Linked DNA regions of Arabidopsis thaliana. The protein of the gene in region 1 interacts with the protein of each later gene in a biochemical or structural test. Each region holds a gene or a part of one and is shown on either strand. Other genes may lie near its edges.

Region 1 (5,098 bases):
TCAAGACTATAAAGTCATTGTACAAAACATCGAACGAAAATTATAACGTAAGCACCATAAAATGAGAAAAATACACAAACTATAGTGATTGACGATGCTTTTGACATATAAGTCTTACTCGTTAACAGATTATTAAATCTATTTTTTTCGTATTTGATCTTACGCTTATGCAAATTATGTTTCTGGATAGCATTTCTTGCTTAAACTTCCATATCGCATACCGTATTTAAAACCATATGCTTCTGATAACAGTTATGAAATATCAACATTATGATACCAAAACTTCCGTATCATAATCACTTTAACTATCTTTGACTTTGTTTTCTCTCACCATTATATCCCGAGAATAAATTATGACGTCTCAGTATAGTATGAGCCATCTTCTGATTGCAATTATATATATATCACATTGTTCTCCACATCATCCAATGATAGCATGTATCCCCAACATCCATGTGTATCTCTTCCAACAAATCTATCTGGATCATATAACTCCTACTTTTATGTGTCTTGGTTTTTAGAGCCACACAATCCTCAACTAGAGAGTTTCCCAAATCTTCAAAAAATCCGAAATAAGTATCAAACAATATCTCAATTTGATTTTCTTCTATAAGTAAAAGAAAGATGAAATGTCAGTAGTGATGACACCAAACAATTTTGGGTTGAGGAACTTCAAAATGTTTTCAAGATAACACCAATCAATTGAAGGGATGGTGAAGAAAACATTCGGACCTGAGTAATCCTTATTATAAATCCCAGAGAAGATGGTAAAATCAGTGATGATCAAATTACTTACCAATATGACGCTCTCTAAAGATGAAGAGAAAGAAACCGTCATCGTTTTCAACCAACAAATTGCTATAACCACGAATGTGTTCTTTAGAGACAAAACCAATTGATGGAGATAGAGTTTGTGAGAACGATAAAGAAGATCGGCGACCAAGGGACACACGATGGAGAGCACTTTGATCGATCGCGTTAGTAGTGAAGATAGAATCGATAGAAAATCGTAACAAAACTTGGGAATCCAGAACCTCATCTTGATAGTTAGAGAGAAGTGTGATGGTGAGCGATCGAGTAAGCGGATAATAAAATCTATAAAAATCAAAGTTCAATCGCTAGTGTCACCTTTTACAGTTGTAACTCCGACAATACAAATTATTTACTTTAGAAGAGAATTAAGAAAAAAAAGAAAAAAAGAGTCGCCGACGAACCGACAATTGTCAGTGACTCTAAAAACAAATATACAAAGATAAAAAACCAAACAAAAAAATAACAAAATTAAATTTCTTTCACGAAATATATTTTTCTAAATTATCAAATGAAAAAATATTTTTTTACGCTCTTTAACAAAACTCTAATAATTAGTTTTTTTTTGTGAATCGATTGTAAAATTTTTTAGTTATGTTGAGAAGAATAACACAATTTTTTTTTCTTTTACATAAAAAACTTATGTGAGTTTTATAAAAAGTAACGTGAGTTACATAAAACTCATGTAGTTTTATAATTTGTTATTATGTTGCTCGTATAAAAATTTATTTACTTAATATTGTAACAAAACAAAACAAATTTTTTTGAAAAAAATCGTCATAAAAAAAAAGTCAATATAATCTTTTTTTTGTCAAACAAGTCAATATAATCTTAGTAGTCGTTGTTGTACAACAAACATCTACAATATACTTTTCTGTCTACCCAAATAATATAATTTTCCTCTTTTGTATTCAAAAAAATAATAATTTATCTCTACATGTTGGAAATATCAAATATAGTAATAATGTTTTTAAGAGAAAAAAAGGAAAAAAGAAAGTAATAAAACATTCTAGAGAGTTCCAAACTCCACAAAACCTCAAACAAAAGCAAACGCAATTTAGCCTCTTCATAAGAGAGAAGTCCTCTCAGAGAAACGGCAGCCACATCAACCAACCCAAACATCGAAAGAGAGACACTTTTCTCTCTCTCTTTCTCTATCTCCTTCCAATCTCTCTAGGGTTTTCGTTACAACGGCGAAAAGATGTTCGGTAGAGGACCCTCGAAGAAGAGCGACAACACTAAGTTCTACGAGATCTTAGGTGTTCCTAAGAGCGCTTCACCAGAAGATCTCAAGAAAGCTTACAAAAAAGCCGCTATCAAGAATCATCCTGATAAGGGTGGAGATCCCGAGAAGGTGAATAATTTCTTAGATCCGCTTAGATTCTCTCGAATTCGATTGTTTGATTGTGTTTTTTTTTTCGATTGATTTGTTGTCTTGTTAGTTTCTTAATGTTGAATTTTGATCCGATCTGATAAAAAAGTTTGAGTTTTGGCGATTAATCAAAAATTAGGGTTTTGATGATATAGATGTGTCTTGCTTTGATAATTGAGTGGTTAAAGTTTGGTTCTTTGTTAGGTTATGAGTTTGATTTGTTGTGTTATGTGTTGATTGCAGTTTAAGGAGTTAGCACAAGCTTATGAAGTGCTTAGTGACCCGGAGAAGCGTGAGATTTATGACCAGTATGGAGAGGATGCACTCAAGGAAGGAATGGGTGGTGGAGGAGGTGGACATGATCCATTTGATATTTTCTCATCCTTCTTTGGTGGAGGCCCCTTTGGAGGTGAGTCTCCTTGGACACTGTACACTTTATGATATCGCAATTGAGAATTTTCGTTTGAATATGTTTCTGTTTTTGAATAGGTAATACCAGCCGGCAAAGGAGGCAGAGGCGTGGTGAGGATGTTGTTCATCCCTTGAAGGTATCTCTTGAGGATGTGTACCTTGGTACAATGAAGAAGCTTTCACTTTCTAGGAATGCTCTCTGCTCTAAGTGTAACGGGTTAGTACATTCGACTCGATCTTGCGTTTTTGGTGTAGCTATATGTGTCCTAGGTTCATAATAATATGAATTAGCTTAAGTTTTGACAGAAACCCTTTATCTCAATTTGTGACCCCAGTTGGTTAAAAGGTTCTGAATTTGTGATTGCAGAAAGGGATCAAAATCTGGAGCCTCCTTGAAATGTGGAGGGTGTCAGGGATCTGGTATGAAGGTGTCTATTAGGCAGCTTGGACCTGGAATGATCCAGCAGATGCAGCATGCATGTAATGAATGCAAAGGGACAGGTGAGACCATCAATGATCGGGACAGGTGTCCACAATGCAAAGGAGACAAGGTCATTCCTGAGAAGAAGGTGCTTGAAGTGAATGTGGAGAAGGGAATGCAACACAGTCAGAAGATCACATTTGAAGGACAAGCAGATGAAGCGGTATCTACTCTCATACATTTACTCCAGCTTTGATTACTAGTATGTTTACTTTTCTTCTGGAGACTAACCTTTTGTTTTATGTTTTTGTGTTGGTGCAGCCTGACACTGTCACTGGAGATATAGTGTTTGTCCTTCAGCAGAAAGAGCACCCAAAGTTCAAGAGAAAGGGAGAAGACCTCTTTGTGGAGCACACACTTTCTCTAACCGAAGCTTTGTGTGGCTTCCAATTTGTTCTGACTCACTTGGATGGCAGAAGTCTTCTCATTAAATCTAATCCTGGGGAGGTCGTGAAACCTGGTACGTATTCAGATGCATCGTCATACTCAGATTTTACAGTTACTATAACTGTCTCTGATTGAAACATGATCACTTATCTTATGTGTTTGACAGATTCATACAAGGCAATAAGCGATGAAGGAATGCCGATATACCAGAGGCCATTCATGAAGGGTAAGCTCTACATCCACTTCACAGTGGAGTTCCCGGACTCGTTGAGCCCAGATCAGACCAAAGCACTGGAAGCTGTTCTACCTAAGCCGTCAACAGCTCAGTTGAGTGACATGGAGATAGATGAATGCGAGGAGACCACGCTCCACGATGTCAACATTGAGGATGAGATGAGGAGGAAGGCACAAGCTCAAAGAGAGGCTTATGATGATGACGATGAAGATGATGACCATCCGGGTGGTGCTCAAAGGGTGCAATGTGCCCAGCAGTAAGTAACTCCTTAGAGAGACTTTGACCCACATGGGTTTGGGCTCCAACCAATTTGTCTCTTGCTTTTTCATTCTAAGTGTATTGGAGTCTTTATGGGAGTTTGGTACGGTTTAAGAATTTGCCCACTTCGGTGGAACATCGAAACTTGTTTTCTCTTTTTCCTCTGACTTTAAAAATTAAGGCCTTATTACAATTTTGTGTTTTTTCTTTATGATTAAATTTGTAGTAATTTAATGTCTAAGAACATATATACTGTGTGTTTTCTATATTGATATGGATTTAAAATTCAATAATTTTTGTGTTCATGCAGAACAAATGCTGCTATATAGTCTAAGATGTTCATATTTATCCTTTTTGTTGTATATGTCACCATGTTTTGGGTGTTAACTCCGATGACATGTACGTACGAACTACAGTAAAAACTCTATAAATTAGTAAAAACTCTATAAATTAGTAAAAAATGTATTAATAATGTTCGGACGACGCAATTTTATTAATTTATAGTGATATTAATTTATTTTATAAACTAATATTTATTAATTTATCTTATAAGTTAATAAAATATTAATTTATAGAAATATTTACGTAAAATATAATATTATATTTTTTAAAAATGTTTCTTAATTTAATTTTCTATATGCTTTGTTGTTTGCATATATAATTATGTCAGCTTTTTATTTTTCTTTGACTTCTTTAATTTATTTTTTGGCAATATCTTGTGACTGTATATTTACGAAATTAACGTGAATGTAAACGTAAACATAAACATGAAAGTTTAATCCAATTTCTCTTTACACAAATCTTAGCAATGCTTTCTCAAATAAAAGATTTTATAAAATCAACTATGACGGATCAAATACGCAAATAGTTATGTGAGTACAATAGAGATCATACCAGTTGTATTTTAAAAAGAGTTGTAATTGTAGCTTGAACAAAAATTTTATATAAAATTAGTTTTAAAATTAGCAAAAAAATTGTACCAAACCAAACCAAAAATTAGAAAATAAAATAACCGAATTAATACTAAATTTTATAATCAAAAGAACCGAACTAAATCGATACCGAATCAAAATATTTTGGGTAATCGAAAATAACAGAAATAAAAATATTTTTTATAACTATTAGTTATTTCTAAACTAAATAA
Region 2 (6,810 bases), on another chromosome or scaffold:
GCCTCTAAACACTATTCAATTTCAAATATAAATGATTCATGCGGTTCCAAACGCCAATTGATGGATGTTCTACCAAATTTAATCTACTTTTACCAAACCATGACAAATATGAATAAACATTACTTGATAATAATTTTGTGAGTGAACAAACTTTTTTTTTTTCGAAACCAAACCAAGCTGAAAAAAACTCAACGATTTTCTTTGTTTAAAATACGTTAGAAAGGAATATGTATTATGCCGAAATAAGTAATATCGATCAGGCCACCTCTCTTATAGTTATTCTCCTAGCAACTTTAACCACTAGAAGGTTTTGTTTTCTAGTGTTTTCTAATATACGTCATCAAAATTTTCAAAAAATACTACATTTTTGTTTTAAAAACTTCCATAATTCCATTACTCGTAGAACACAAACGCAAACCATATTAATATTTTGTTGTCAACAAAAATTTCAAATTATAATTCAACTATATTTGCTTGATTACCCAATTAGATAGAAAAGAGTTAAAGAAGAAAAGAAAAGAGTTTACAGTAAATTAACGCAAACCATAATTATATTTAACACCGTATTAATCACATCAACCATATGACTTTTTTACCGTTTGCAACTTCATAATTCATATAGTATCATAATAAATTCGCAATAATACAACACAAGAGTTTCGTCGGAAGAGTAAATAATACTCAAATAGGGGGTGAGTGATACGAGCCACATGTATTCTTGAAGGGTAGATTATTGCAAACTTGGAGTAATAAAGAGAAGAAGAATGGGTTTGTAGTAGTTGCGTGGAGTATCTTTATTTGGGTAAAACTTTAATTTAGAAATAAAATTCTGTACGGACAATGGATCGTGTCCCAATCAGATTTCTTGTGGCTGCTTCGGGTCTGGTTTTGGGTCCCTTTGAAAAATTTTAGTGGTCGACACTTTTTATTTTACTCTGGCTCGTGCCTCGAGGGTCCCTCTATTCACTGTTTCTTCGTATGAAGGTATGCTTAAACATTATTTTATTTTTAAAAACCCTTTAATTTTATTTTCTTACCTTTAATCACGGTTTTGTAAATTGCTTTTTAGTCTATGGAATGATGATTGTGGCGATTGAAATCATATGTTTGGTTCTGTTGTTGACGTTGGTGAAGTATATGTGATTTGTAATGTTGAGCTTATGTATTAAAATGTTAAATGATAAATAACCTCGTAAGAAAGTGATTTCATTTAAATTTTATTTTGAGTTACATATTCAATTGGTTTTATAAAAAAATACTTCAGTGATGATTGATACCCCCATTGTGTGTGTAATTGTTACTGGGATTGAACAAAATTTATTTGTGCATGACAAACTTTCCAAATTAGTGCATAGATTGTAATTGTATAATGGACTACATGTATCTGAGTAGATATGGTTCATTAGGTTACAAACCTCTTTTTTTAAGGACACAATTTTTCGACAAGTTATATGCCACATGATTGACTACTAAATTTTCAAAAATTATTGCACTAATGTCTTTGAAATTAACAAATTATTTTGTCATTTCCGAGTTGGATTCTTACAAACCAAGGCCGAACTCACAAACTTATTTCTTTCAGTAAAAACAAAACATTGTCCTCAGAAAAATTCTGAAATGTCATCTTCCCAAATGTTTTTACATAAATAAAAATAATATACAGTTGATATTATTTTGTTCTTTCTGAATTTTGTTATGAGGTACCATTACCATATAGTACGTAGATTTACAAAAATGAAAATACGTTGTAGCCCTTGATGTTCTTCAGGTCTTCTAGTTAGTTTTTGCAGTAAATACCAACCAATTAGTTACAAGGAGTATAAGTGAACAAAGTGAGACAACTCATTTTATGCTTCCCTATAAAAAGAAATTCCCCACTGACCCAAACACACACTTCTCTTCTCTCTCTCATCTCATTGGAGACTTATAAATCCTATTACCTCACCATATCCAATAACCACCACACACAGACCAATATCCAAAAAAAAAACTAAAACTAAAAATATAATATATATCGTTTTCTTTCCAAAAATAATCATTTAAGAAACCCCATCATCTTGATAGTATTATAAAATTAATAAACCTCTCCCTGAAAATATCTCATCCTTCACCAATCAAAACCTTCTCATGTCTTCTTCTCTCCTCGACCTTTGAGGTGGAAAATTAAATATATTCCCTTAGCTTTTTTTCTCCTTTAGTTTTCTTCTTCTTCTTGAGTTTTTTTTCTTTTGATCCTCTCTAATTTCCTTGTTGATTCATCGACTAGATCTAATTCTTCTCACAAAAGACTGAGTGTGTTCTTTCTTTCAAATCTTTCAAAAACTAGGGTTTTTACTGTCTTGAAATCATATTTATTCTTCTAAATTTAGCAAAAAGAACACGATTTACTTTCCATTTCAGTCGTCTTGTCACTCTCTCTCTCTTCTTTAAAGTCTCCCTTTTTAGCAAAAATTCTCTCTCTCACAAAATTTATTTCCTCTGGCTTCTTCTTCCTCCTCCTCCATCTCTTCTCTTTACTCTCTCTTTAATCATCTCTCATTCTTGAATCTTGATCCATCAAAATCAATCCCGTTCTCGAAAGATCCATTAAAATCAAAACCTAAGCTCTCTCTCTTGCTTCTAGGGTTTTTTTGTTCGTTGTGATGGCGAGAGAAAAGATTCAGATCAGGAAGATCGACAACGCAACGGCGAGACAAGTGACGTTTTCGAAACGAAGAAGAGGGCTTTTCAAGAAAGCTGAAGAACTCTCCGTTCTCTGCGACGCCGATGTCGCTCTCATCATCTTCTCTTCCACCGGAAAACTGTTCGAGTTCTGTAGCTCCAGGTCTTTCTTTCTCTCTCTAACTTCCCTCTCTATAGATTTCTCATAACTCATCGAAGGAATCTTGTCTAGATCCAGACAAAAAACTTTAAAGAGTTTTTAGATGTATATCTGATACATAGGAGTTTACTGTATCAATCTTTATAGGACCACTAACTATTTATATAATTAAAATAGTTGTTAGAAACATTAATCATGACCATAAATGACATATATAAAGTGTATAGTAAAACTCTGTATTTAGATAAATTAAGGTATCTAACTACGGTAATATTCAAAAAGATGTAAATCTGGATATGCATATATGTATATTATTAGTATATAAATACATGCTCTATAGTAGGTATTTGTGTCAACCATGTATAAATCTATGTATATAGATATTGTGGTATGATATGTTTAAGCCGTCAATGTCATATTTATATAGAAATATGTGGGTACCATAACATGAGGAAGTATCTATATGTGTGGATGTATAAAGCTTTCCCTTTGAAGAAGTAATCTAAAAATAATATATATATATATATGTATATGTATAGATATGTTGGAATCTTTATTAGTGTTGGGAAAAGTCATTTAGAGAGATATTATTGATATTAGGGATCTAAAATGACTTATCGTATTACAGAGATACGATTTTGGATTTTTGACCCACTAGTTATCAGCTCAGTTCCTATCTTCGGGGACATACACACTTTCACAGATAATTGTGTATATATGTAACTGAAAACGATAGTGTTAACATGAAATAATGTACATGTTTGGGATTAAATGTGTTTTGTGGATTTGGTTTGCATCTTTTGATTTTAGATTTTGGTATATTGTCGGTGTTTACATATGCACATTGTTAATATCAACAGTATAGTTGTTTATAATAAGTTATTTATTGGAATGTGTTTATATTATGAAGCATGAAGGAAGTCCTAGAGAGGCATAACTTGCAGTCAAAGAACTTGGAGAAGCTTGATCAGCCATCTCTTGAGTTACAGGTTAGCTACATTCTCGAAACGACCACACATTTTCTTTCCCGATTTCTGTAACTTGCAAAATCGAGTATTACTCCGTTGAATTACCAATATGTTTTAGATTGTTGTATTTATTGACCAAGAATCTCTTAAAACTTTGTATTAATAGGTACAAAACTTTATATTATTGCATATGATTAATTAGACTCGATCCATGTAGTAGTCATGTAGAGTAGTCCTGTGTAGAGAGTTGAGCTTTAGATCATTATGGATATGATTAAGAGCTTAAATCAATGTTTTATTCTGTTAGCTGGTTGAGAACAGTGATCACGCCCGAATGAGTAAAGAAATTGCGGACAAGAGCCACCGACTAAGGTACGTTATATATGTATATTCTATGACTTTTGAACTAACTATCATTTTCTAACTAATTTTTTTTTTGATCAACCACTATCATTTTCTAACTGTGTGTTTACATGATCATATATAGGCAAATGAGAGGAGAGGAACTTCAAGGACTTGACATTGAAGAGCTTCAGCAGCTAGAGAAGGCCCTTGAAACTGGTTTGACGCGTGTGATTGAAACAAAGGTTGTTAAGAAAATTACTTGATACCATGTATAAGTTTCTCTAAGCTTACGAGTATGCAATTTACTAATACGAGATGTGTTTGCAGAGTGACAAGATTATGAGTGAGATCAGCGAACTTCAGAAAAAGGTAATAATTAACCAAAATAACGTTTATTCTTTACTTGATGATTTCAATATTAATTTTGGCAGTTTCAAGATCCAAAATTTTCATCTTCTTCTCTTTTTTTTTGGTGTTCAGGGAATGCAATTGATGGATGAGAACAAGCGGTTGAGGCAGCAAGTATGTGTCTTACCCTCTCTGTTGATAACAAATCCCTTTCTTTTGTCTACCATTAACGTACACACCCCTAAATTTAATCCCCAGTTGTCTACAACACATATGTTTGATCATACTGTGAGATAAATGAATAAACCAAGTGATATAGCGCGATTTAAAAATGTCTTTAAAACTAAAGGTAACCATGTAGCTAGTTAGTCTCTAGGGTCCTAGAGGTCTACGAGTGTGCATGCATGGATTTGGTGCGTTTTTTCTTTTTCATCTTCATTTTGTTTTTTGAAACAGGGAACCATAAACGAATATATATCTAATTCTTGTTTGATATATAGTTTGGTCGAGGCTTCATGTCAAGATTTGCTCATTCGTAGTTAGTTGATCTCTAGAGAAATTCAAAACACATGGTGCCACTAAAAACACAAAATGCAAATACTTAGCTAGAGAACTTAATGATATGTTTTGTCTTGATTTTTGCAGGGAACGCAACTAACGGAAGAGAACGAGCGACTTGGCATGCAAGTACGTGGATATATATATAGTCTTGATTATTTTGAATTTTGTATGTTTGTTATCAGTTTAATGTTAAATTTGGAATATTTTTTTTTGGTTACGTGTAGATATGTAACAATGTGCATGCACACGGTGGTGCTGAATCGGAGAACGCTGCTGTGTACGAGGAAGGACAGTCGTCGGAGTCTATTACTAACGCCGGAAACTCTACCGGAGCGCCTGTTGACTCCGAGAGCTCCGACACTTCCCTTAGGCTCGGGTAACCAATTAATCACCCTTTCTTTTTACATTCTTTTGAGTTGATAGCTTTACATGATTTTTTTTTTGTTTTTAAATTGAGACAAAGAATATAAAAATATATACTTTAAACGACCATATACATGTATGTTGTCCATATTTATTGGCATTGCAAGATATGGATGACACAGAATCGTAAATAAATTTGGTTTATTTGTTGTATATTTGTAATTCTAACAAATAACATGTTATTTTGTATATTTTACATGATATCATGCTATTTGTTAAAATTACCTGTCATAAAAAACACCACTTATTTATGGTTTGTTTTTTGAAAATTCTGGCACAAATCTAATCATCTACAAAATCACTCTAAAAAATAAGTTATTGATTTAATGTATGGTGTTGTGCAGCTTACCGTATGGTGGTTAGAGATGGAACAATTCAAAGAAGTTGATGGAGTGAGGAGAGTAATGTAAATCTTTTTAACTCGGTAGTAACAAGAGACAATGTCTAAGTAGTGAATTCTCAAATGTTTGTGTAAGTTTCTGCCTATGGAAGAGGCTTTCATTTTTATGATTTTCACTATGTATGATCTCTCTTCACTGCATTTCTGGTTAGTAACGCTTGTCACCGATAAACTTTCTCGTTATGGAAAGTTAGAATATAAAATATTGTAGAATTTTGATTATCGATATACTCTTGGTTAGGGATCAAAAATATATTTTAGTGATGCCTCAAATAACTAATAATCATCATAGGACTCAGTCTCATTAGAAATTTTAGTGTAACAAAAGTGTGATTCGAATTCATCTTGTTGTTTTGTTGAATTTGTTGCAAAGTTTTACAAGTTTTCTCAGACCAGAGATTTCAAGTGTCTTCATTGGTGATGATTCTGGTGAATTGATGATCTTACTTGTGTGTGTGACACTTGCAATGTGTCTTGTTTGAGAAACACATTTGTAGTTTAGTTGGAGCTGTGCGGTTGGATGAGACTGAGTTCTATGATAATAAATTAGAAGCAAAGTTTCAAACCATATTCATACGATTCATTATGTTAGCAACAAGAAATATGAATATGGTTTGAAACTTTGCTTCTAATTCATCATTCGTTACACAACGTCCAAAATCTAAAAAAGTTTCAGATTTTCTCAAAATTCAGTAAATGGGCCTCTATATAATGAGGTTTGACGTTTTAGAGATACTTTGCACAAGAAAGAAGGTTCTGGTCGGATCGTTACACACCGACCTTTGACCGGTTCATCAAAACGTGTCCGGTTTTATGTTTAAACCGTCACAAAGGGGAAAAAAGTTCTTTAAGATTCAATTACTTAATGATTAAATTCTTTGCTTGCTTCAACATCTTTACAACTTTTTTATTAAACAAAACGACATTTTCACATTCCTTTATCC

What was found.
Region 2: the proteins of J3 (region 1) and SVP form a complex in vitro, tested with the Arabidopsis thaliana proteins (one study listed by BioGRID).

What each region holds. Positions count from the first base shown.
Region 1 is NC_003074.8:15,867,973-15,873,070, reverse strand, and holds J3 (DNAJ homologue 3), read left to right. Parts: upstream 1-1,814; 5' UTR 1,815-2,011; coding exon 2,012-2,164; intron 2,165-2,425; coding exon 2,426-2,591; intron 2,592-2,671; coding exon 2,672-2,810; intron 2,811-2,960; coding exon 2,961-3,237; intron 3,238-3,335; coding exon 3,336-3,534; intron 3,535-3,627; coding exon 3,628-3,956; 3' UTR 3,957-4,440; downstream 4,441-5,098. UniProt on the Arabidopsis thaliana protein: Plays a continuous role in plant development probably in the structural organization of compartments.
Region 2 is NC_003071.7:9,577,775-9,584,584, forward strand, and holds SVP (K-box region and MADS-box transcription factor family protein), read left to right. Parts: upstream 1-1,872; 5' UTR 1,873-2,642; coding exon 2,643-2,824; intron 2,825-3,731; coding exon 3,732-3,810; intron 3,811-4,096; coding exon 4,097-4,161; intron 4,162-4,276; coding exon 4,277-4,376; intron 4,377-4,461; coding exon 4,462-4,503; intron 4,504-4,614; coding exon 4,615-4,656; intron 4,657-5,127; coding exon 5,128-5,169; intron 5,170-5,267; coding exon 5,268-5,419; intron 5,420-5,810; coding exon 5,811-5,829; 3' UTR 5,830-6,127; downstream 6,128-6,810. UniProt on the Arabidopsis thaliana protein: Transcription repressor that inhibit floral transition in the autonomous flowering pathway, independent of photoperiod and temperature. Acts in a dosage-dependent manner.